Linked DNA regions of Rhinolophus ferrumequinum. The protein of the gene in region 2 binds, or shares a complex with, the protein of the main gene of each other region. Links are inferred from orthologs where the notes say so. Each region holds a gene or a part of one and is shown on either strand. Other genes may lie near its edges.

Region 1 (6,983 bases), on a different chromosome or scaffold from region 2:
TAGCATGGCTTGAATAAATTTTTGCATCATCTAGAATTGTGGTCACATATCGGAAGGCAAACTCCAACATCTGATTTATAACTCTTGGCTCATATTCTGTAATCCCCATATCCTTCAGGATTTGTGCCATCATCTGTGCATCTTTCGGCATGCTCTTGGGAGAAGCCATCTTGCCAGACTCCATGATATCCGGTGATCAGACTTCAGATCATTTGAAAAAAATACGTACATTAGGTCAAACCTGAAATAGTTACTATAGTAGCAACTGTCAGGAACTTAAAAAATTTTAAATACGTTAAATTTTTCAAAACATATTTAAATTTTAAAAATATGTTAAATCTTTTTAATTTTAATGAGGCACACTTTAAGAAGTTCCCTTAAATTTATTGAGTTTCTACCCTGTAGAAATCATTATAGAATAAAGATACAATTATAAGATAAACAAAGATAAAGACACAATAAGGGAGTGATAAAAGATGAGGGGGAAATGGTAAAATAAGTAAAAACATATTTTAGAATATGTGCAGTTGCATGCAGACATGCAACTATCAAATTAATGTAAGAAAATACCACAGGACAGTCATGTTCTACTGTCTGATTTCAAAATAATCTGTCCTTCCAGTAAGATCAATATAACACTGTCTCCAAAGACATCCTCAGCACCACCCAAACCTTTGTGTTGACCCATCTCCAAACATTGTCCCTCTTCTTCATATTCAGATTCTACCTATCCTAAATCCAATCTCTTCATGAAAACCTCAATTATTACTGTCCACAAGAACTGCTAGTCAACTGGGGAGCAATGTAATGGTCAAAATAGCCAGGACATAGCTTTAGACACTTAATGCTTATGATTTCTATGGATCCCCAGTAGAGCATAACTCCTTAATGGCAATCTTTCTCTGCATGTTGTACCCTCTCAAGGATAGTACTAATACTCCATTATCTGTCTCTCACACTCTCTCTTTTTAAAAACAAATTTAACATCAAAATGTCCCTTACCTTCTCGAGCTAAATCACCCACATTAATGTATTTCAGTCCTGATCTTGATGCAAGTTCTTTGCCCAGCGTGGTTTTTCCAACCCCTGGTGTACCTGTAAGAAAAATACTGTTCATGAAATACTTACTAGGCTTTAGTAAGCTATGTGCCCCGCTTAAGGTTAATGACTGAAATGAAGTTTCCTAATTAGCAATCCCATGTGAATTAACACACACAATAACCACCCCAAGCATGATGGATGTCCAAGTCTCACCCAGTGTATCTGATTCTATCAGGAGTGTGGCTTGGGTGATTCTGATGCCAATTCAGACTGCTTGCCAACACTATGGACATTCCCAGAGTAAAATTAGCCATCCCACATAAATTAATATCCTTGTTCGCTTTAATTTTTTAAAAATTAAGAAATTATTCACGGGAAAAAAATCTAAGAAGTATGAAAGACAAATCTCATTTCCACCTGTGATCCCCTGTACTCTTCCCTAGAGGCAACCACTGTAAACCAGTTCCTTATATATCTTTCCAACGAAGTCCTATGTATGTGTTTGTGTACACATTCATGTATATGTATACACAACAGCATGTGTACATATATGTATACATATTATGTGCACATACACACACATACATTCCCTTTTACATAAATGGCAACGCTACACATTGTTCTTCACTTTCCCTTTTTATTATCTATTGTATTTCAAGATGCATCAATGCATAATTTTAGGCTGTTTGGGTTTAATGTCACCGAAATAATAAAACTTGATCGTTACAATCCAAGATAACAGGGATAAATCAAGTCTCCATATACAAGACAATAACATTTACCTTAAGTCCACTATAATACACCAAGTTTGAACCCTGGACTTACCAGGTTTTCAATAAAATGCTCACCTTGATTTTTGACAATATGCCTTAATATCAAAATCCAGGACACTGTCTGACCCAAACAATTCAGATGCCGTAAAATCTTCCTTTTAAGGAATCTTAAAGGCTGAACATTAATTTGTTGAGAGGTTAATCTGCAACTCTCAGAAACAGAAATTGTGCACTACCAACAAGCTTATGTTTTGTTAAATGATGAAAACTTTATTGCTTTGTTTCCAGAGTGTCTCAATTTTTCTGTGTTGTAATAGCACCTATAACCATTAGATTTTCTTCAATGAATGCCCTATGATGCTATTAACTGCTACAATTTAATAAACATTTTCAGAGTTAAACGACAAACAGTAACATTCTTTAAAGTCGTTATGCGGCATTTCAGTACTCCTCACGTATAACAGGCCGGGAGACCCAGAAGGGCCCCCACGGGAATTTTTCAGCATCTCTACACAAGAAACGACGAGATGCTCAGTAGATGCCTTTTGTTCTTGGAAGAAAAGAAAAAAGCCTCTGGCATTAACTCAACAAACATATATAGCAAATTAATCACCCTATACCACAAACACCTGAGCCCTTTTACTGAAATCTGACTCTCAGATACAAAGGAAAAATGAAACACGGCCAGGTAAGGCCTAACGACTAAGGCATCCACCAGTAACAGATCTACTAAGGGCCAAATACTGCCTTACAAGATATCGCAAAAAGCCAAAGAAAACCCTGCCAAATAAAGAATCAACATCCATTTTAGAAACAAAAACCAGATTCAGGAAGAGCAGGCAGCATGCCAGAAAGGGGAACTAGATTGGTCTACCTCTCTCCACCTCACCGAGCAACCTCGGGCCAACAGAACGAACGTTCCCCTCCCCCCCGCCGCCTCCCCCCCGCCGCCTCCTGCTACGATCGCGAGGGCCCCATCTCGAGGCCCTGGCAACTGCCACGCCTCGAGGCCCTCGACTGGCCTCGAATATGTGAGCGCCCCCGCTGTGTGTGTGACAAACACACACTTCGGGCGCCCGAGGCCCCAGTGCACTCAGCGTCCCTGGCCTGCCCCGCCGTCCAGCCCGTCCCCGCCGCGCGCCCTGACCGGTGAGCAAGATGTTCGGAAGCAACATGGTCCTCCCCGCGACGGCTCTGGGAATATCGGCACACGAGACCTAAGTATAACAGGCTGGAGCCGGAAGGAGCGGGCCGCGGCAAGCGCCAGTGGCCCCGGGGTCCTCAAGATCCTGCACGGCGCTCGCGACCCATCTCCGCCTTCTAGTCACCAACCATTGGTTATCTGACCTTCTATGACACAATTCCATCTCAGGGTCCGAGACAGGGACACAGTTCGGGTCCGCAATTCAGGTCAGGCAGTGCGCTGGATGCCTAAGTCGCTTGTTCCTTTGGCTGCCTCCGCCCTTCGGGCTCTGTCGCGGAAGGGCCGATGGGTCTGGAAGGTCCCGTGAGGCGGGACCTCGGAGAGGCTAGGGGCTGAGCCCGGGTAAGACCTGGTGGCTTCCCTTCTACTGGAGCAGAACCTGGGTTCCTTCGCTCCTCTCCGCGCATGAGGTCATGCAGCTCCCCGCAAGTAAGGCCGCCGCGGCTGCGGCTGCAGTATATGTCCTAGTGATGCGAGTCCATCTCTGCCTGCACGCCTTCCCGGGGTCTCGTCGCTCCTCCTTCCTACTTGCCCATCCCCTTTGGCGATGAGAGGGTGGGGGTGCAGACCTCTGGCCTGGAGCCGGCGCAAGCGAGCGGATCTCGGCTCTCCACTGATGAGCAGCATTACGTTGCACAACTGTCTGAGCTTATTAACCCCTGTTCAGTGTGTAGGGTGGTGGTGGGTCTGCTAGAAATATTCTCGAAGGTTTCTTCTACCTCTGACGTCTCGTTTCAGGACCCTGGCATCGTCAAGGACGGTTACCTGCTTTTTAAAGGAGGTAATTGTCAGTCTTGTTTTGAAAGAACGACTGGACTCCTGGCCGTAGCGACAGTCTGTGCCTTTTACTTCGACCTGCCAGCTAGATGTACTCAATGTTTTTAACATCTATGTATCTCTTGAAACGCCAAAGCAAAAAAACTCTAATCGTGAACGATTTGTATCTGTATGTGTACGATTTGTTTTCTAGTACGTGGAAGTATTTACACATTATGTGTGCCTCCACGCTATTAAAAAAAAAGTCCCATAGACCTCCCAATTTATAAGTTTATAGACCTTAAAAAAACTTTCCTCTGGCTAACTTAAAATTGGCGAGTTTACTAGTTTTGTATAAACACTGAAGAATTATGAAAGTCGGAAAATATAGTGTTGCCAAAAAATTTCCTAATATGTTCAAATAAGGAAAACAGTTATAGGAAAAACTTACAGTAAGATTTAAAATCTTTGTCCAAAGTGAGTGATAAAGTCTGAATTCATTGTATGGTGGAGTGTTTTTGTTGAAATTTTGGCAACTGTAATTTGCCAAATTACAAAATTACAAATTTGTAATCAACTGTAATTTGAAATAAGGGAAATTTTAAATTTTCCTATAAAAACTACACAAATAGAATGTCTAGTTTTCCTTAATGACAAAAGGTAGGTACACAAATATGTGGTTTTTCCGTTTTCTCTAGTTATTGAGTTCGTATCAAATAATTTACATTTATAATACCATGAATAGACTGACAATTATAGCCATTAAAATTAAAATTTATTTTAGCATTTGACTCTTGTTTCACCTATGTTTACTCAGTTCTCTTTCACTTAGTTCTTTTTCACTCATCTTGAGCCTTAACCTTCTTATGCTGTTGATTATATCCCATATGTTAATTACTGTCCTTCTGTTTTACAGTTTTTCTTAATTGAGAATTTTTCCCCCCAGGTGAATTATACTTTAATGTACTACAGGTTATATACTACGGATGGGAACTATTAAAGTTTATAATGTCAAAACCTTTTCTTAGACAAAAGCTATCTTCCACAAAGGTATGATACACTAAAATTGTCCTGTAATAATTGCCTTAAAAAAAAAAAGTAAAATTTTTGTACATGTTTTTAATGATTTATTACTGCTATCAAAGTAATGGTGCCAGTATCTGTTCTAATTAGTGATCTAAAAAGTCTAATAAGTTATGAAACAGCTCTGCACTAAAAGTACAACCTTAATTTTGAAAAGTCATTTGCAATCCCAATCAAAAAGAAAATGCTGAAAACTCTTGAAAGAGCAGTAGAAGAAAGGACTATATGAATTGTATTTGGTGTTAAAGCTTAACAGAGGCTCTGCCTCTTAGAAATCATGTGGTTCAGTGTGCCAGTTCTCAGCAAGGTTAGGGGGTAGAGTAGGATGAAGGTAGAGTTGGACAGTATCATCCTCATATGCAAAGTAGCTATTTTCCTAATGGTTTGTCTGATTTTTCTCTGATCTTAAGTAAATTATTTAACTTTGCCATTTCTCTCTTTTTTCAGTAAATGGCAGTCCACATTTATGTAAGAAATAAAACTATAAAACATATAAGTAACATGTAGATCAGAATTGTTATTCACACATAATATTTTTATATACTCTTAAAAATTGAGGAAAAGGGCCAAAATTATAGTAATAGTGACAGTCTTTTAAAGAGAAGGAGACGAATTGGGTAACTATGACCAAATTTTTTCCCAGAAGTTTTCATTTCTTTACCCACTGCTGATAATATTCTAACCCTGTGTCCTTAAAAGAGGAGTGAATATAATTAAGTCATATTAACAAATTATTCATAACATCAGGAGTCTTAGACTATATCCTCACAAAGTCTTGAAGCTGTTAGGGATTATTTGGATGTATTGAAATGTAATGTATTACCTGGTGAAGGCAAAAGTGTTACTTTTCTCGTTGTACATGGGTAAAATAATGTTTCTTTGTTTTGCTTCTTTTTTGGTAGGTAATTTAAATATTTATGTTTCAGTTCTACAAACAAGTTTAAAAGAATCAGCCTATTCTTTATCGTGGGAAGATTACATTGATAAAAAGAATTAAGTTTATATCTTATATTCCTTTATATGGTATTCATCATTACCAAGGTCAAGTAGACAAGTATGCATTTGTATTTACTGTAAAGTAGAAATATAAGTATTACATATAACATCAATTCTATTTAAAGAGCTAATTTGCGAGATGTTTGTTTTAAATGTTGCAAATATACAAACATTTTTTGTACACAGTTTAATTACATAGGGAACAGATGCAAAAAATGCAATAGTATTTACATGATTTCTTTTTTTCAGGTAACAGACTGGGTAGACCCATCATTTGATGATTTTTCAGAGAATACAAGCATTTCTACTATTACTGCCACATCATTGGGTGTGAAAAACTCAAGTCATAGAAGAAACAATTTGTCGTCCCCATTAGAAAGTAGCAGATTTCCAACTAGAAAAAGAGGAAAACTATCTTCCTCAGAAGACATTTATGGTCTAGAAAATTCAAAAGAATATCTGTCTGAAAATGAACCGTGGGTGGATAAGTACAAACCAGAAAGTCAGGTAATAAATAGCATGTAAACATGTCTATGTAATTTAGTTTCATAAAGGAGAGGGATGTACACTTTCAGATTATTACTCATAGAATTCTTTTTATCTAAATGAATTAGAAAAAAACCAGTGTCTTTTTTTATGTCCCAAGGCTCAGATTTTCTCAGCAATTATTCTGAAGTTGTACAATTGATTATTTGTATTTATCTTAGATTAAACTTAACCCAACATAGAATTGATCTAATCTGGGTTTTTTTTGTTGTGTGTGTGTGTGTGTGTGTGTGTTTTGCTAAATGTAATACCTATTTATTTCCTTCCCAAAATATATTTCAGGATTTTTAAAAAATCGTATAATTCCAAACCTGCCCAGTAGTTTTCGTACAATAGTGTCAGCTTACAAACATTTTTTTCATAACAATAGAAAAAATTAAATGTAATCAACCTTTTCTATTACTATATCATATTACTTATTTTTTAGTGTTTTCTTGTTTGTTTTTTAGTGTTTTCATTAAAAATGTTTAGATTAATCTGTGATGTACCAAAAATCCTTCAGTTAAAATGTTTTATTTTAAACTTGATATTTTTAGCATGAACTTGCTGTGCATAAAAAGAAAATTGAAGAAGTTGAAACCTGG
Region 2 (7,176 bases):
AAAGCTGCGGGGTGGGGCCCGAGGCACCCTGAGTTGCTTGCTGGGCCGCCACCTGCTGTGCTGCGGCTGTCACCGCTGTCACCGTCGTCACCGCTGCCTGCTGCTGCTGCTGCTGCTGCTGCTGCTGCTGCTGTTGCTGCTGCTGCCGCTGCTGCTCCTCCAGGACAGACAGGCTGCTGGGGTTCTGGATCGGCTGCGGGGTCAGCCCCGTGCCGTACGGCATCATGGGGCTGAAGATGGGGATTCCTGGGGTCATGGCGCCCTGTCAAAGGCGGGAGGAAATGGGTCAGGCCAGCTGCTGGGTGGTGTGTGCAGGACGCACCTGGGGAAGGACGGGCATCTTCCAGTGTGACAGGTCCCTGAGCATGGCGACAGGAACCTGCTCCTTATGCACCCCCTTTCTTTACACGACAAAGCAGGGAACGGCTTAGGGCTCGGAACTGGACCTGGCTGTGCCATCCACGCTTGCTACTTACCACGTGTGAGAACCTGAACAAGCTGCTTAGCTATTCGGGCATTCTAGGGGATAGTAACATGTGAAGGTCGTTAGAAAGAATAAGGGAGAGAACTGGAGTGAGCACACATCCTTGTTTAAACTCTTATCCTAACTTACCATTGGGGTGGTTCCCCGTCACACTCTCAAAGAGGATCTGTCTCAGTTTGGATGATAAATTTTATGGTTACGCTAGAGACATCCACTGAAGGCATCCAACACAATGACAGGCACATAGAAAACACTGACATGTTAGCAATGACAGTGACAATCATTCTCCAGTTGCTGACATTAGGGGTGTTTCCGTGCTGGGGCTATTATGAATAAAGGTGTTGTAAACATCTGTGTGCAGGCTTTGTGTATACTGTGTTTTCATTTCTCTGGGGTGAATGCTTAGCAGTGGGATTGCTAGGTCACGTGGTAACTTTATACATCCATTTTCCACAACAGACTGCTACATTCCCTTCCTTCCCTTCCATACTCTCTCTGACAATGCGAACAGCTGGACTGCACCCCCTACCGCTGTGTTACCTGAGGGGAGGCCAGGCCCTGAGCATAGGGTGGCAGGCTGCTGTTCTGATCCATGATGACTGCTTTCTTTTTGGCAAATCAACACCTGGGCCTGGAGCTCGCCTCAGCGTTCAGGCTTTTCCTAGAGCATCCCTAGCACACTCTTCTCAGCAAGTTCAACTCTCTATCTTCAGGCACACCAGGGAACACTGATGCTGCTTGGAGGACAGAATGAAGTTTAGTGTAAGAATACAGGTACATTATACAATCTTATAAACCAGTTTCATGATTACACAATCCCCCCCACACCCCAAAACTCAAGCTATTTTGGAATACACTTCTTTTTACCAATAATGTTGAAATCTTATTCTTTCCATGTTTCCTGTGACTGCATGCCAAATCGCCAACAGAAATAAAAACTGTTTTGCTACTGTTTAATTTAATTACTCATAATATTACAATTTAAGGTGTCGTGATCAGCACTGAAAACTTCTGGGGGGGAAAACGTCCAGAGAAAAATTCCTAAGCGAACTGTCATGTCTGAGTAGAGAGATTTATTAACACCGTTTACACAACTCTATTAGGCTAAGTTCAGGTTTTAAAGTATTCCAATCAATTTTATATCTTCAAAGTTTGGGCGTTAAGTTCAATAAATACTTAATTTGAGTCCAATACACTTTTGTCTATCGGTTATTGAACTGCTACTTTAATAAAACACTAAGAAGTAGTACAGACATAAAAATAATTAAAAGACCATGTTTTTACTCGTGCAATAACTACCTCTTTAGAACACATCAATACAAAGTGTGCTTATGTCTGGCTTTCCTAAAGTTACTCTTTACTGGCTAAACATTTGAAGTTAGTTTTAGACAAAAGAACCAAGTGGCTGCTGAAAGACCTTTTGTTCAGTTTAGTTCAGATGGACCCCTGACTTGCTCAGGGTTGTTGTGAGAACTGATTGAATCAAATAGTATTAACTGATTAATACGTCACAAACAGCATCTAGTTATCATACAGAAGCACAGGATAAATGTGTGCTATTATCATAAGATTTCAGTTTAAACATTAATACCTGATCAGACGTTCTCACACAGACCTACAGGTCCTAGTTACATGTGGAAAGTCAAAAACCCACATTCACTTCAAGCATGTGCAGTTGCAAAGCAAGCACTCAGATATTTCGGGAATAAATGAAAGAATCTGATAACCACTTTCAGAGGACAAAGGACCCCAAGGGCTACATACTCATTACTGACAGATCATCATAAACATGAAAACTCTGCCTCAGAAAATGTCAGAGATATACGAACGGTTATACGCTTTTGACACTAATCCTGCTGTTACAACAGAAGTGCTGCAAATACAAAGATGAAGAGGATGTAGTCCTTAGCCTTCCCACATCAGGAGAAACGATGGCAGGACAGGAGAACTCCGGGGCTTGGTGCGCGGCACCGTGCAGTCCGGGTTCCTCCCGCGCCCGGCACCCCACGCTCGTACGGCCGAAAGCCGCTTTCGAATTACAGCAGAGGGCAGCCGGCGAATCGGCGGGTGGGCGGCCGGTACAGGCCGAGTGGCTCTGGCCCGGGCGGGAGGCACGTTCCCGCGCGGCCTGCGCGCCCACCTGCGTCTCCCACCGCCATCGCCCCGGGGCCTCGCTGCAGTGGTCGCCTCTGAACAACCCTCAGAAAAGAGAAGAGGCTAAAGGGCTGTTACCTGGAGTCACTGCAGAGAACACTACCCGCCCGCGAAAACGGAGTTAAGCCGTAGGCGGCACCAGCGCCCGCCCCGGCCACCCTCCCGACCCTACTGAACCGTTGGCGCGCGTTTATACTGTCACTTCCGCCAGTCCAGCCCTTGGCTTCAGCGAGGTGCCCACGCTGGAGCGGCGGCCATGGGAAGTGTGGGTAGTGTCACTTCCTGTGTTTCCTGGGATGATCGGTTGAAGGGTATTGAGAGGCGGGGCGGAGCTCTTCAGGACTTCCGGGGTGAGGGTGCCTGGCCGGAGCGTTTTCTGATTGGTTGTTGCTGGAAGGAGCGAGATACAGATTTTTATGTATTTATTTATTTTATTATTATTATATTTTAGATAGTTCATCAAAAAGAGGATTATTCGGGAAAAGAATACAAAACCGCCACAGCGGTGTGGGAACACGCACCTTCCGGCCGACCGTCTACGTGCAAAAGAGAGCGAGATACAGATTTTTAAATGTGGACTTTCTAAGCGACTCTCTGTGTGACCTTTGGCAAGTTACCTGGCTCTCTGCCTCAGTTTGTTGGTCTGCAGAATGGACTAATAGCAGACGTTGCCCTCAATGGACGTTGAGAGATGGAATAAGGAAAAGCATGAACCGTGCCTGGCACGTGATGAGCACTCAGTCAGTGCATGCTTTCTATTCTCAAACATGTCAAAAGATAAGAAAAACAAAAGCAGACAGCCTGGCTTACAGAGTCAAGTATATTTTACTTCTGCTACTACCATCTTATGCTCTTTTTTCACATTTGTCTCAATGAGACTGTCCATAGTTGTTTATTAGCTTCCCGATGCTTGTTTAGATCCCAGAGTACCTTTATCTCTTTCTACAGTTCATTTAGACATAATCATATATTGTACCTATAGGGGAGGAGAATTTTTCCTCTACACTATAGGTTCTTTTGGCTGTTCTATTCATTAAATTGACATAAAACAATAACAGGAGATGAACAAATTTTATTATGTACTATTATGGGACAATAAGAGGCTCCCTGGCAGTCAGTCATTTGAGGCTTATGTGCCATCCTGAGCTAAGGAGAAGGGGATAGGGATCTGTGGTTTCAAAGGGAAGGAAGAGAACTCTGAGGAAGACGGGTAGAGCAAAGGTTTGATAAATAAATGTTTGCCATGCCATGGAAGAGACAATGGGACATAGAGAGGATGTTGAACAAGCAGGCCCTGCTGAGCTCCCCCAGCCCACCACACCTGGCTCATACTCTTTGCATTTATCTCTGGTGATCTCTCTCTTCCTGGACCAGGCCATCTAGCTACATTCTTTTAGGCAGTTAAAGGAGAGGTAAAAAGTTTTTCCTGAGTCTTTTGGGTCCCCATTGTCTTCGGCTCAAAATAATCCCCATGCCAAAGTGGCACATTGTGGGAAGACTTGTTCTGAACCCCTTCATACTGCTTATTGTTTTGCTTCCTTTGTATTTTATATACTCAGTGAGGTTGTGAGCCCCTTTAAGGATAGGGAATGTTATATAGATTGTTTTCTATCCAGGACAGTACCTGAATAAATACAATGCTTCTCTGTCAATAACCAAACCAAAGAAAGTCCTTTTCTTATCCTTTTTGTTTGTTTGCAGTAAAACATGGGGAGAGTTTTAATTAAACAAGTAGTTTCAAAAATCTTTTCTGGTTCCAGAATTCCATGTATATATTAGTAGTCCATCATATATTAGCCAATTGCTTAATTGCTTCTTAAAACATAACATTTTAAAAATTGTAAAATAGATTTTTCATATGAGGAAGTGAATAAACGCTTGTACAGGATAGTTATAAATCAAATAAAGAAAGCGACTATTGCCAGCACCAGAACCCCAGTCCCATACCTCAGCCAAGCAGGCCCCTCCTACTCACTGTGTACTCCTAAGTGAGGTAGTATGTATTCTTTTGCTCAACGTTATAAGACTCATACTTAGAGCTAACCTCGGTTAATTTTCCTTGCTGTGACGTCCTTCAGTTGGGGTTATCCATTCTGCTGTTTATGGACCTTTGGCTCATTTCCAGTTTGGGGCTATTAAGCACAATGCTATATGAACGCTGTTGCACGGGTCTTCTGGGTAGAGCGTATACCTCAGAGTTGAACTGCTGGGGCCTAAGGTGTGTACATCTGCCCTTTTACAAATGTGCTTGTACCCGTTTACACTCCAATAGAGGATTCGACTTTCCGTTGCTCCACAGTTTTGCCAAATTTTTTGTATGGTCAGATTTAAAAATTTTTGTCCATCAGGAGTGAATTTGAATGTTTTCTTAGGAAAGAAGGCCGTGACATCTCAGTAAGCTTCCTCGGAATACGGGGCGCTCCTCTACCCACAGCCAGGCTGCAGAGCGGACCTCCAGGAGCTGGGCATCTGTGCCACACGGAACGACGGGAAGGAGCACCGCGGAACAGCCGGAAGCGGCGGATTTCCGGCTGAGGCCACCATCTCGCCGTGAGACAGCAGGAGCGGCTGCCGAGCGATGTTGTCCTCCCCAGCCGTGTACTCGGGCCCCGGCAGAGACCTGGCGATGGAGCCTCACAGCGTCGCGGGCCCTGTGAAGCTGCGCTTTTCGCCCTACGCTTTCAACGGAGGGTAAGGCCCGGCGAGTCGCCCCTTTCGCTTTCGCACCCCCCCCACCCCAACGTCCCTGCTCAAGCCTTTGGGGGTCGCGGCGGACCCGATGCCTGCCCCGCCGTCCTGCAGACCTGGGTCTCCGTGGGTTGCTCGCGTCAGTCTTAGTCTTCCCGGCTGCACCTCAGCGGCCGGCCACTTGGGGCTTGCTGTGGACGGCCATGTGTGCACTGCCCGCTCGCCCTCTGCCGCAGTGAGGCAGCAGATAGAAATCGAAACCCGGCCTCTGGTCCGGAAGACCTTTACAAATGGACCGAGCCTTTCTTGAACGGTCTAGTCGTCTTCCTCATGCCGCAGGCGAGGGGCAGGCTTAGCTTGAAATTACCAAGTTAGCATTGCTCGGTCCTTGCTGTTATATATATAGCTGTGTCTGTACCTAAAAGGTCCAATCAAACCGCTTGGTAATCGTTTCTGTTATTTTAAATAGAAAGTAGGTTTAGTTGGCCAGGCTTAGTTTCATAGATAAATGCTTGTTTTTAAGGTTTAGCTTAAGTTCAGGGAAAAAATACTCAGGAGGGGGCCTTTTAAAATGTTACGTTCTTGCATGTTACATTTAAGTTGTATTTTTTTTTATCACCAGCTTTATCTTAAGTAAGACTCTTCTTTGCTAACTTGTTACCGTGTTTCCCTGAAAATAAGACCTAGCCGGACAATCAGCTCTAATGCGACTTTTGGAGCAAAAATTAATATAAGACCTGGTCTTTTATATTATATTATGGTTATATTACATGACCTGATCTTATAGTAAAATAAGACCGGGTCTTATATTACTTTTTGCTCCAAAAGACGCATTACAGCTGATTGTCTGGCTAGGTCTTATTTTCGGGGAAACACAGTATTGCATTAGTCTTATTGGAAGTGTCTCCATCCCATTTCACATACTGTCCCAGTAGTTGCTGCCGTGTTGCTGGCCCAGTAGTCTTCTTAAAACTCCACTTTGCAAATGGAACTCTTCTCATTCTTGCTCATATGATCTCTGTGGTTTCTCACTAAAATTCCAGAATCTTTAGTTTGGCGTTTGGCATTTTCCACAATCGGATCCCTGTCCATTACATAAGCTTTATGATCCTCGTCTTCCTTACACATAAAGGGATACCTGAATAAGTTGTTTGAATGTATTATTTGAATTATTACGCATTTCCTTTCAGTCACTGTCCATAGTGTCTGGGATACCATCCTTTAGTACTTCAGAACTTTAGTGCACATCCCACCTCTGGTAAAAGGAAGTTTTCTGAGTGCTTTCTGTTCTCTGAGGTGCTGTGCTGGGGCTTTTATGAATTATGTCATTTAACTCTCACAGTCACCCTGTAATACAGAAACTGTTATTGTCATCGATCTGAACTTGGATAATTTGTCCAAGGTCACAGAGATAGGTGAGTGGCAAGATTGGGTCCTAGGTAGCTGCAGAGCCTAGGTTCTCAGTGGTCGCCATACTGCCTGGTACGTATGCCACCATGGTGCTAACTAAAGGGGACCAGTTATGTTTCAGGCACTAGTATGGGGCTTTACAATTATTAACTAATTTAATCCTTGTAACACCCTGTTAAGGTATCTACTGTTAGGACCTGTGATCTACATATGTGGACAGTGAGGCCTTGAGACGTTAAGTAACTTAGCCGCAGTCTCATATCTGCCGAGTGGGAGAATCAGAATGAGAACCCAGACAGTCTGCTTTGGAATTCGTGCTCTAGGCCTCTGCAGTAAACAGCCATCGGAAATCGCATAGCCACAAAGTGAAGTTTGGTTTCTGTTCATTTTTCAGCAGATTATTTGTGTGTCTACTGAGTGCTAGACGTCATATAAGGGCT
Region 3 (7,285 bases), on a different chromosome or scaffold from region 2:
CCTTACCCAACGCTCTGACCCCGAGGCCCATGACTCTACCTTTCACCCGTTACCCTCCGGCCACACTGGCTTCCTTTTGTTCCTCAAACACACCAAGTCCAGACCTGCCTCAGGCAGGGTCTTTTCACTCTCCCTAGGACTTAGCCCCCCAGGCTCTCACTGCATTGTCATCTTGGCTCAACTGATCCCTCTTCAGAGAGGTCTCTCTGATGACCCTAAACAAACTCTGTTCATTTCCCCCACCTGTCACCCTATATACCTACCCAGCTTTAAAGCATTTATCAGTCCCTAAAGTTACATTTTATATTTACCTGTTTTCTATCATTCTGCCATGAGAAACATGGCTGAAATAACAGATGACAAATACTGTTGCAAAAACTGTTGGAAGGTGTAGAAAATGCTGAAAATTTAGAAGAAACAAGTATTAGAACAAGAGACACAGGTTTGTAATTTGAAGGTTTGTGATATAGTTGGATAAAATATAGATATTTCTAACAAGTCCCTGTTCATGAGGGTCTCTAGGTTCTGTGTCACTAACAGCATGTAGAAAAAACTACTTTTGAGGCACCATTAATGGGAAGAGGCACCAGGGAGCAGCAGATACTCTGGGCAATAAATCATTTCTTTTATAAACACAATATTTTGTGGTAAAATTGTGTTCATGTAACCACGGAGGATTGTCTGCTTTGAATAAAATAATAAAGAACTCTGAGACAAGACTGTTGGCAGTGTGCTGGTTGTAACCCATCCACTGCCTCAATCACCAGCAGGAAGGGCAGCAAAAGTTGAGTCCACACATTGCTGCAGAATACCATGGATGTGGTTAATTTTATACACACAAGACCTTTCAGACGCCATGGGACTGTTACCGTAATCTGTGTGAGCTGAATATCTGTGAAAGTCCTATGTTCCACACAGAAGGTTGTTGATTATCTCCTGGCGAAATACTCAAAAAGACCTGTCAGACTTGTGATAAGTTATCTTTTTAAACAAAAAGGCACATATTCCTGCCATGACAAGTGGCTGTCAGCAGTATACTACCTAGCAGATATTTTCCAAGTTGTGGATGCACTTAATTTGTCCCTTTGGGGCAAAGGGGATGTTTCAACAAAGTAAGCAGCTGAATGGCTGGGTGTGTTGACTGGCCTTATCTTTATATTTATGATCACAGATGTCCAGGGCCCCCTAATGCTCCCTGACAATTTACTAGATTTCTGATATAACTCTCCCATTTCCAAGGGATATTACACCTCTGCTCTCTCCTCAGACCTTGTACAACCCTCCCACTTCCATGCTCGGCAATGGCTTGCGTCGTATTTCAGGAGGAACAATCAGAAGAGCCCTCCACCTTGTTCCCACCAGTGCCTGCCTCTGACTCCAATGCCTCCCCTTCTTTCCTGGTTCTGCCACACACGAGTTGCCCATGTGGATCCATCCCCTCTCCCCAGTTCAGTGACAGACCCCTAAAATCATTCCCTCTCTCTTTTGCACCATCATTTTTCTCTGAGAGTTCATTTCTATCAGCTTATAGACATCTTAAGCAAGCAAAGAGACAAAAACAGACAAACACATAAAAATCTCCCTGATTTTACATCACCGACCGGCTACGGCTCCTTTGCTTCTGTCTACAACCAAATCCCCCACAAGAGTGGCCCACACTCTTCCACCATTTTCTATTGAACTCACTCTATTTGGCTTTTATCCCCAACAATGAAGCCACTCTTGTCAAGGTCACTGATGACCCCATTTCCCAACCTGGTCATTGCAGTTCTCAGGAGCATGTGACACAGTTGATGGCATCCTCCTTTTGGACACACTCTCTTCACTTGGCTTCCAGGAATCCACACTCTCCGGACTTTCCTTCTATCTTGTGGGCATTCATTCTTAGCCCCCTTTTGTCAATCCTCCTTTGTGGTCCCGACTTCTCTATGTTGCAGTGCCCAGGTCTCAGTCCTCTCTACACTCATACCCTTGATATTTTATCCAGGCTCCTGCCTCCCAGTTACACATCCAGTGGTTACTTTTCCCCTGAACATCAAACTCGTGTATTGCACAGCATACTTAGCATCGCCCTTTGGATAGCGAATAGGCATCACTAACTTAAACATAAACCCAACTTTTACATCTGAACTCTATCATGAGCCTACACCAAAGTTTCTCCCACCTCAGTACATGGCACCTGCATTCTTAGATAGGATCAGACACAAAACTTTGCAGTCATCTTTCACTCCTCTCTTTCTCTCACACGCCACATCCAACCCATCAGGAAAGACTTTCTGCTTATACCTTTGAAGGTGACCACTCCTCATCAGCCTCACCATGCTCACCCTATAACAGCCCACACCTGGGTTATTTCAGTTGCCTCCTAAGTGATCTCCCAGCTCCCCCTTCGCCCCCTTCCAACCTATTCTCCATAGCCCAGAGGAAACCATCTAAAATATGAGGCAGCTTCTGTCACGCTTCTGCTTTCCATCTTACTGAGGATGAGCTCTGATGTCCTTACTACAAACCACAAGACTTGAGTCATGGCCTGGCCCTGGCCACCTCTCTGATCTCAGGTCATCTACCACTTCCTGGCTTATTAAGGACCACCTTACTGTCTAGGTCCGGAGTGCTAATCCCCCAAACATCTGCATGACGGGGTCCCCCATTTCTTTTATGTTTCCTTTCAAATGTCATTTTTATTTGAGAGGCCTTTCTATCTTCATATTTTGATCTCCCTTGGTGATCTCATCTAGCCTCTTTAAATGCCATCTAGATAGAGATAACTTCCAAATGTTTACTTCCAGTCCAGAATTTGCCTCTGAACTCTAGGTTCCTATATCCAATTGCCTTCTCATCCTACCTGGATGTCCTCTAGATAGCTCTAACATAACAAGTCCAAAATAAAATTCTTAATCTTCCTCTGTCCCACTCTCAAACTGTTCCACACACAGTCCTACTCAGTGATAGCTTCACCCTTACAGTTGCTCAGGGCAAAGGTCTTGACATCATCCTTGACTCCTTTCTCTCTCTTATAGCGCACGTCTTGTCCATCGAAATATCCTTATGGCTCTACCTTCAAAATCTGTACTTCCAGGTTCTGTCTACTTCTCACTGTCTCCATTGCCTTTACCTGGGTCAAGTTACCATTATAACTTGTCTGGATTAGGCTATTAGTCTCCTGACTTGTCTCCCAACTTCTGCCTTTGCCGCCTAGCACTCTGTTCTCCCCACAACAGCCAGACTAATCTGCGAAACATAAGTCAGATCATGTAACTCCTCCAGTGGCTCCCCCAATTTCTCCAACTCAAATTCCTTAAAACCGTATTTTGCCCCAACCACATTTTCTTTTTTTTTTTAATTAAATTTTATCGGGGTGACAGTTGTTAGTAAAGTTACATAGATTTCAGGCGTACAATTCTGTATTACATCATCTATAAATCATATTCTGTGTTCACCACCCAGAGTCAGTTCTCCTTCCATCACCAGTCAAGTTCCTTAAAACCATATTTTGCCCCAATCACATTTTCTACTCTTCCTTTAGCTCACTGTTCCAGCCACTTACTGACTACCTTGCTGATCCTCAAATGATATGACATGAGGCTCAGGGCACTGTCTTTACTGTTCCCTCTGACTGGAATGCTGTTCCCAACTTGGCTCTTGCTTCCTTGCCTTCAAGGTCATCTTCTCAGTAAGACTTTTCTTGACCACCCTATTAAAAAGTGAAACCATCTGATAGCTCCCATTCTCTATCCTGCTTTCTCCTTGGTACCCGTCACCATTTATCATACCATGTATTTCCTTATTTATTTTTGTCTCTCACCCCCAAAAATATAACCTCCATGAAGGCAGGGACTTTTGTTTACTTTGTTCACTGCTGAATCCTCAGGGTCTAACGAATAAATCAGGGAATGAATGTGCCCAATGAAGGCACACTAAAAGCTAAATTTAATGAGCACTTACTACGTGAGGCTCAATTAGAAGGGACTCATAGGTAATAGCTAATTTTTACAGAGAAGGAAACTGAGGCACAAGGAAGCAGAAAAGCCGTGATTAGAAACCCAGGTCTAACTCAACCTGCATTCTTTCCTCCAGGACCCTATGTCTCTCCTGTGCTATTAAAAGACAGTACGAAGTGGAAGGTGCCAGCGGTCCGAGAACGTGGGCCTCCATCGCTTCTCCTGCAGCCTGAATCAATACGAGGGTCTTACTGATTCAACACCGGTTGGATTAACAGCTTTCAAAGGAGAGCGTGAGGGATCAGTTCCGTATTAGGCACCGCCCAGTTTCTTACTGGTTGGTTTCAGTTACCTCGACCAGGAAGGGGATGCTGTCTGGGAGAGGGATGCAGGATTTGCGAGCTTCTCCCCAGGAGCCTTCCCGGCAGCCGTAAGGCCCGGAACCCAAAGTCAGTGTCTCAGTTTCCCCCCGGAGGGCTGCTTCCGCTGCTCCCGGAAGCTGCACTCGCTGCGCTAGTAACAGGCCGGGCTGTGTCGGAGGCGGTACTGTTATGGACCTAGAGGAGGCGGTGAGCGGGCCGTGAGCCGGGCGGGTCGGGACAGCGGGGCGGGAGGGGAATGAAACTGAGGAGAAGGGGTTGGAGGACGCGGACACGCTGTGGGTGCGGCCCCAGGCCGAAGGAGGGCGGGGCGGAACGCTGGGGGGCGGGGAAAGGAATGGGGCTGGCGGGCGTGTGAGCTTGCGATTTGGGGAAAGAGGATGGAGTTTCTGGCAGGATGGGGTTGTGGGTGAAGGGGGAGCGGTATTAGCCGATATGGGTGTGTTTCAGGAGAAGGACGAAGTTGTGGGTTTTGTGGGGTGGCCACCCGCGTGGCTCATCCTCTCTCGAGAGGACCACCTACAAGTTCCCTTTGATGTTGGGGCGGGCGAGGGAGCGCCGGCGTTGAAACTTGAATGCCCCCAAGTAACCCCTGCCAGTCTTCGGGAATCCTCGCCACCGTTTGGTGCAGGGATTCCAAATTCGGTTGTGAGGACACTCCAAGTATTGATAGTTATCAATAGGGGGTTAATAAAAACTTGACTAACTTGTCGAAATAAATTTGACATTCATTTTCCACATACTACATAAAATGCCGCACTCTTTATTAAAGGAGTATTCCATAATTAGATCATAATTAGATAATAATGTCAAACACCAAAGAGTTGGAAATCAGTAATTTAGGAACAGTCTATGTATGTATAGAAGAATGATAGAAATAGAAGGCCTTACTTATTGTGGATGCTCAATAGATGTGTATTGAATGATGGATGGGTAACATCTGTAAATGCTGAGTTAATGTCATTAATCATTATAACTCACCATCAGCCTGTATACCTATGAGTAGGGATCCTGTCTAGTTTGCTCACCACTGAATCCCCAGCACTTAAATTCCTGGTACTACATAGTTGATACTCCTTGTATTGCTGAATGAATAAGTTGAAACTGGAAACAACCCTAATAAAAATCTGGTTCCTTTGTAGCGAGTATGTGTTTAGTGTCCTGGAGGAAGTTACAATGTATGCTGTTTCTATTTTTAAGTCTTCTCTATACTTAAACCTTGTCATCTTTTTTCATCCTAGCATTTTCAAGTTTTATTTACTCACTTTTTTTTTTCCATTTTACTCCTACCACCTTTTTCCCCCCCATTTTTTCCCTCACACACTGCATATTTTAGAAATTTTAATTCCATTTCGAACTGCTCAGGAAACCGAATCTCTTTTCTCCCCATTTATAGATAATCTCTCTGATATGTTTTCTATAATTTTTAATGTATAGGGTAAAATTGCAGGGAACCCTGTAGTAGAATTGCAGGCTTTAGGGACAATGCATTGAATGTGGTTTTCCTCTTGTCCTGCAGAAAGAATTCAGAGAACGCTGTACTCAGTGTGCTGCTGTCTCTTGGGGTCTTACTGATGAAGGCAAATATTATTGCACTTCTTGCCACAACGTTACAGAAGTAAGTAACAAATCTCATGTATAAATTTGCTCATGTTTTAAAAATTGCAATTTCAGCCTGATATATGTCATAGTTCCTAAAGAACTGATCTATTTTTAATCACTCATGCAATGCCCAAATTCCAAGAATGTAAATAGTCTTCAAGTGCTTACACAAGGGTTAAGGAATTTGTAAATTAGATTTAGAGTGAGTTTTTGAAATTATGTTGGGCCGTTTATATATAAATGATTTCCAGATTCAGACAGTATAGTCTAAGGGGGAATAATTAAAATTGTATTTAGAAGATGATGCATTTCTTTTTATTAGTTAATACTTATTTAAGAGTTTTTAATGTGTCGTGGTAGCTTAGAGGTTTGGAAGATGAAGTGTTAGAAAGATTGAGGACTGTTGAGAGTATTGGAAATATGCTTCATTATTATTTTTCTTCGTACAGTACCTTACAGATTACCAAGTCTTTTCTTACCCATTATTGAATTTGCCCCTTGTAACAATAGTATTTGAGATATATACTATTATGCATATCTATAGACACAGCAAGTAGGGCTCACCAGTAGAATGAGTTTGCCAAAGTCACACAATTATGAAGTGTTGAGCCAGGAATCGAACCTGAGTCTTCTGAGTTGAGTGTTCATTTTACCCACTGCACCTGCCTCTTAAAATAGAGATTGTCATACTGTCCTATGTGGCATTGGTAAATGAGGTTACCTTCACCCGGTGGGGGGCTAGGTCCTGTTCTGGTTACACATCTTCAGGAAAATAACCAAAATAATCAAGGGTATGGACAGCCTGCTGTTGGACAGGCTAAACATGCCAGGGCTCTTCTCTGGAAAAGGATTTGCTCAAAGTCTACAGAGCCAGGAAGGAACAAATATTACCTTCACCACATTGGCTTAAGAAAGGCAAATTTGGGATAGATGAAAGTAACTGTGTAGACTTCTGCTGCTGGCCAAGATGGAGTAACAGGCACCCGATTTACCTTCCTACCATAAATAACTAAAAACATGGGAAAATATATGAAACAAGTAAAAAAATATTTTCCCTTGAGAAAAGTGGTTAAGTTAGCTTGCAACTCAGTCACACAAGAGCTTTTCCTTTTCGATGACTGAGATAATCATTGTTCTGTCTGCAGTAGCAATTCTTATGTCCTTCCCATTTAGTCACACAGTATTAAAAATATAAGTGCTCATTCAATGAAATGGTTGGGGTGATGGATCTGTTTATTTTCTTGATTATGGTGATGGATTCATGGACACACACACACACCATATTGTATACTGTAATATGTGTAGTTTGATCCTCTGCTTTGATGCATGTTAAGGCAGACTGGTAGTTTTACTCACCGTTGC

What was found. The genes of interacting proteins can lie anywhere in the genome.
Region 1: TBP (region 2) and TAF9 share a complex: the UniProt entries of both Homo sapiens proteins name them as parts of the TFIID basal transcription factor complex. The link is inferred for Rhinolophus ferrumequinum from reciprocal best matches to the Homo sapiens genes TBP and TAF9.
Region 3: TBP (region 2) and TAF1B share a complex: the UniProt entries of both Homo sapiens proteins name them as parts of the transcription factor SL1/TIF-IB complex. The link is inferred for Rhinolophus ferrumequinum from reciprocal best matches to the Homo sapiens genes TBP and TAF1B.

What each region holds. Positions count from the first base shown.
Region 1 is NC_046290.1:44,820,444-44,827,426, forward strand, and holds the start of TAF9 (transcription initiation factor TFIID subunit 9), read right to left. Parts: upstream 3,017-6,983; 5' UTR 2,990-3,016; coding exon of another isoform or gene 2,962-2,989; intron 1,096-2,961; coding exon of another isoform or gene 1,003-1,095; intron 202-1,002; 5' UTR 185-201; coding exon 1-184. Other genes in the region: AK6 (adenylate kinase isoenzyme 6), read right to left, coding at 1,003-1,095, 2,962-2,989; cell cycle checkpoint protein RAD17, read left to right, coding at 3,424-3,447, 3,757-3,799, 4,721-4,824, 6,103-6,360, 6,936-6,983. UniProt on the Homo sapiens protein: The TFIID basal transcription factor complex plays a major role in the initiation of RNA polymerase II (Pol II)-dependent transcription.
Region 2 is NW_022680354.1:3,019,470-3,026,645, reverse strand, and holds the start of TBP (TATA-box-binding protein), read right to left. Parts: upstream 3,026-7,176; 5' UTR 2,717-3,025; intron 1,222-2,716; 5' UTR 1,079-1,221; coding exon 1,025-1,078; intron 263-1,024; coding exon 1-262. Other genes in the region: PSMB1 (proteasome subunit beta type-1), read left to right, coding at 5,217-5,329. UniProt on the Homo sapiens protein: The TFIID basal transcription factor complex plays a major role in the initiation of RNA polymerase II (Pol II)-dependent transcription.
Region 3 is NC_046296.1:65,800,257-65,807,541, reverse strand, and holds the start of TAF1B (TATA box-binding protein-associated factor RNA polymerase I subunit B), read left to right. Parts: upstream 1-4,269; 5' UTR 4,270-4,492; coding exon 4,493-4,510; intron 4,511-5,840; coding exon 5,841-5,939; intron 5,940-7,285. UniProt on the Homo sapiens protein: Component of RNA polymerase I core factor complex that acts as a GTF2B/TFIIB-like factor and plays a key role in multiple steps during transcription initiation such as pre-initiation complex (PIC) assembly and postpolymerase recruitment events in polymerase I (Pol I) transcription.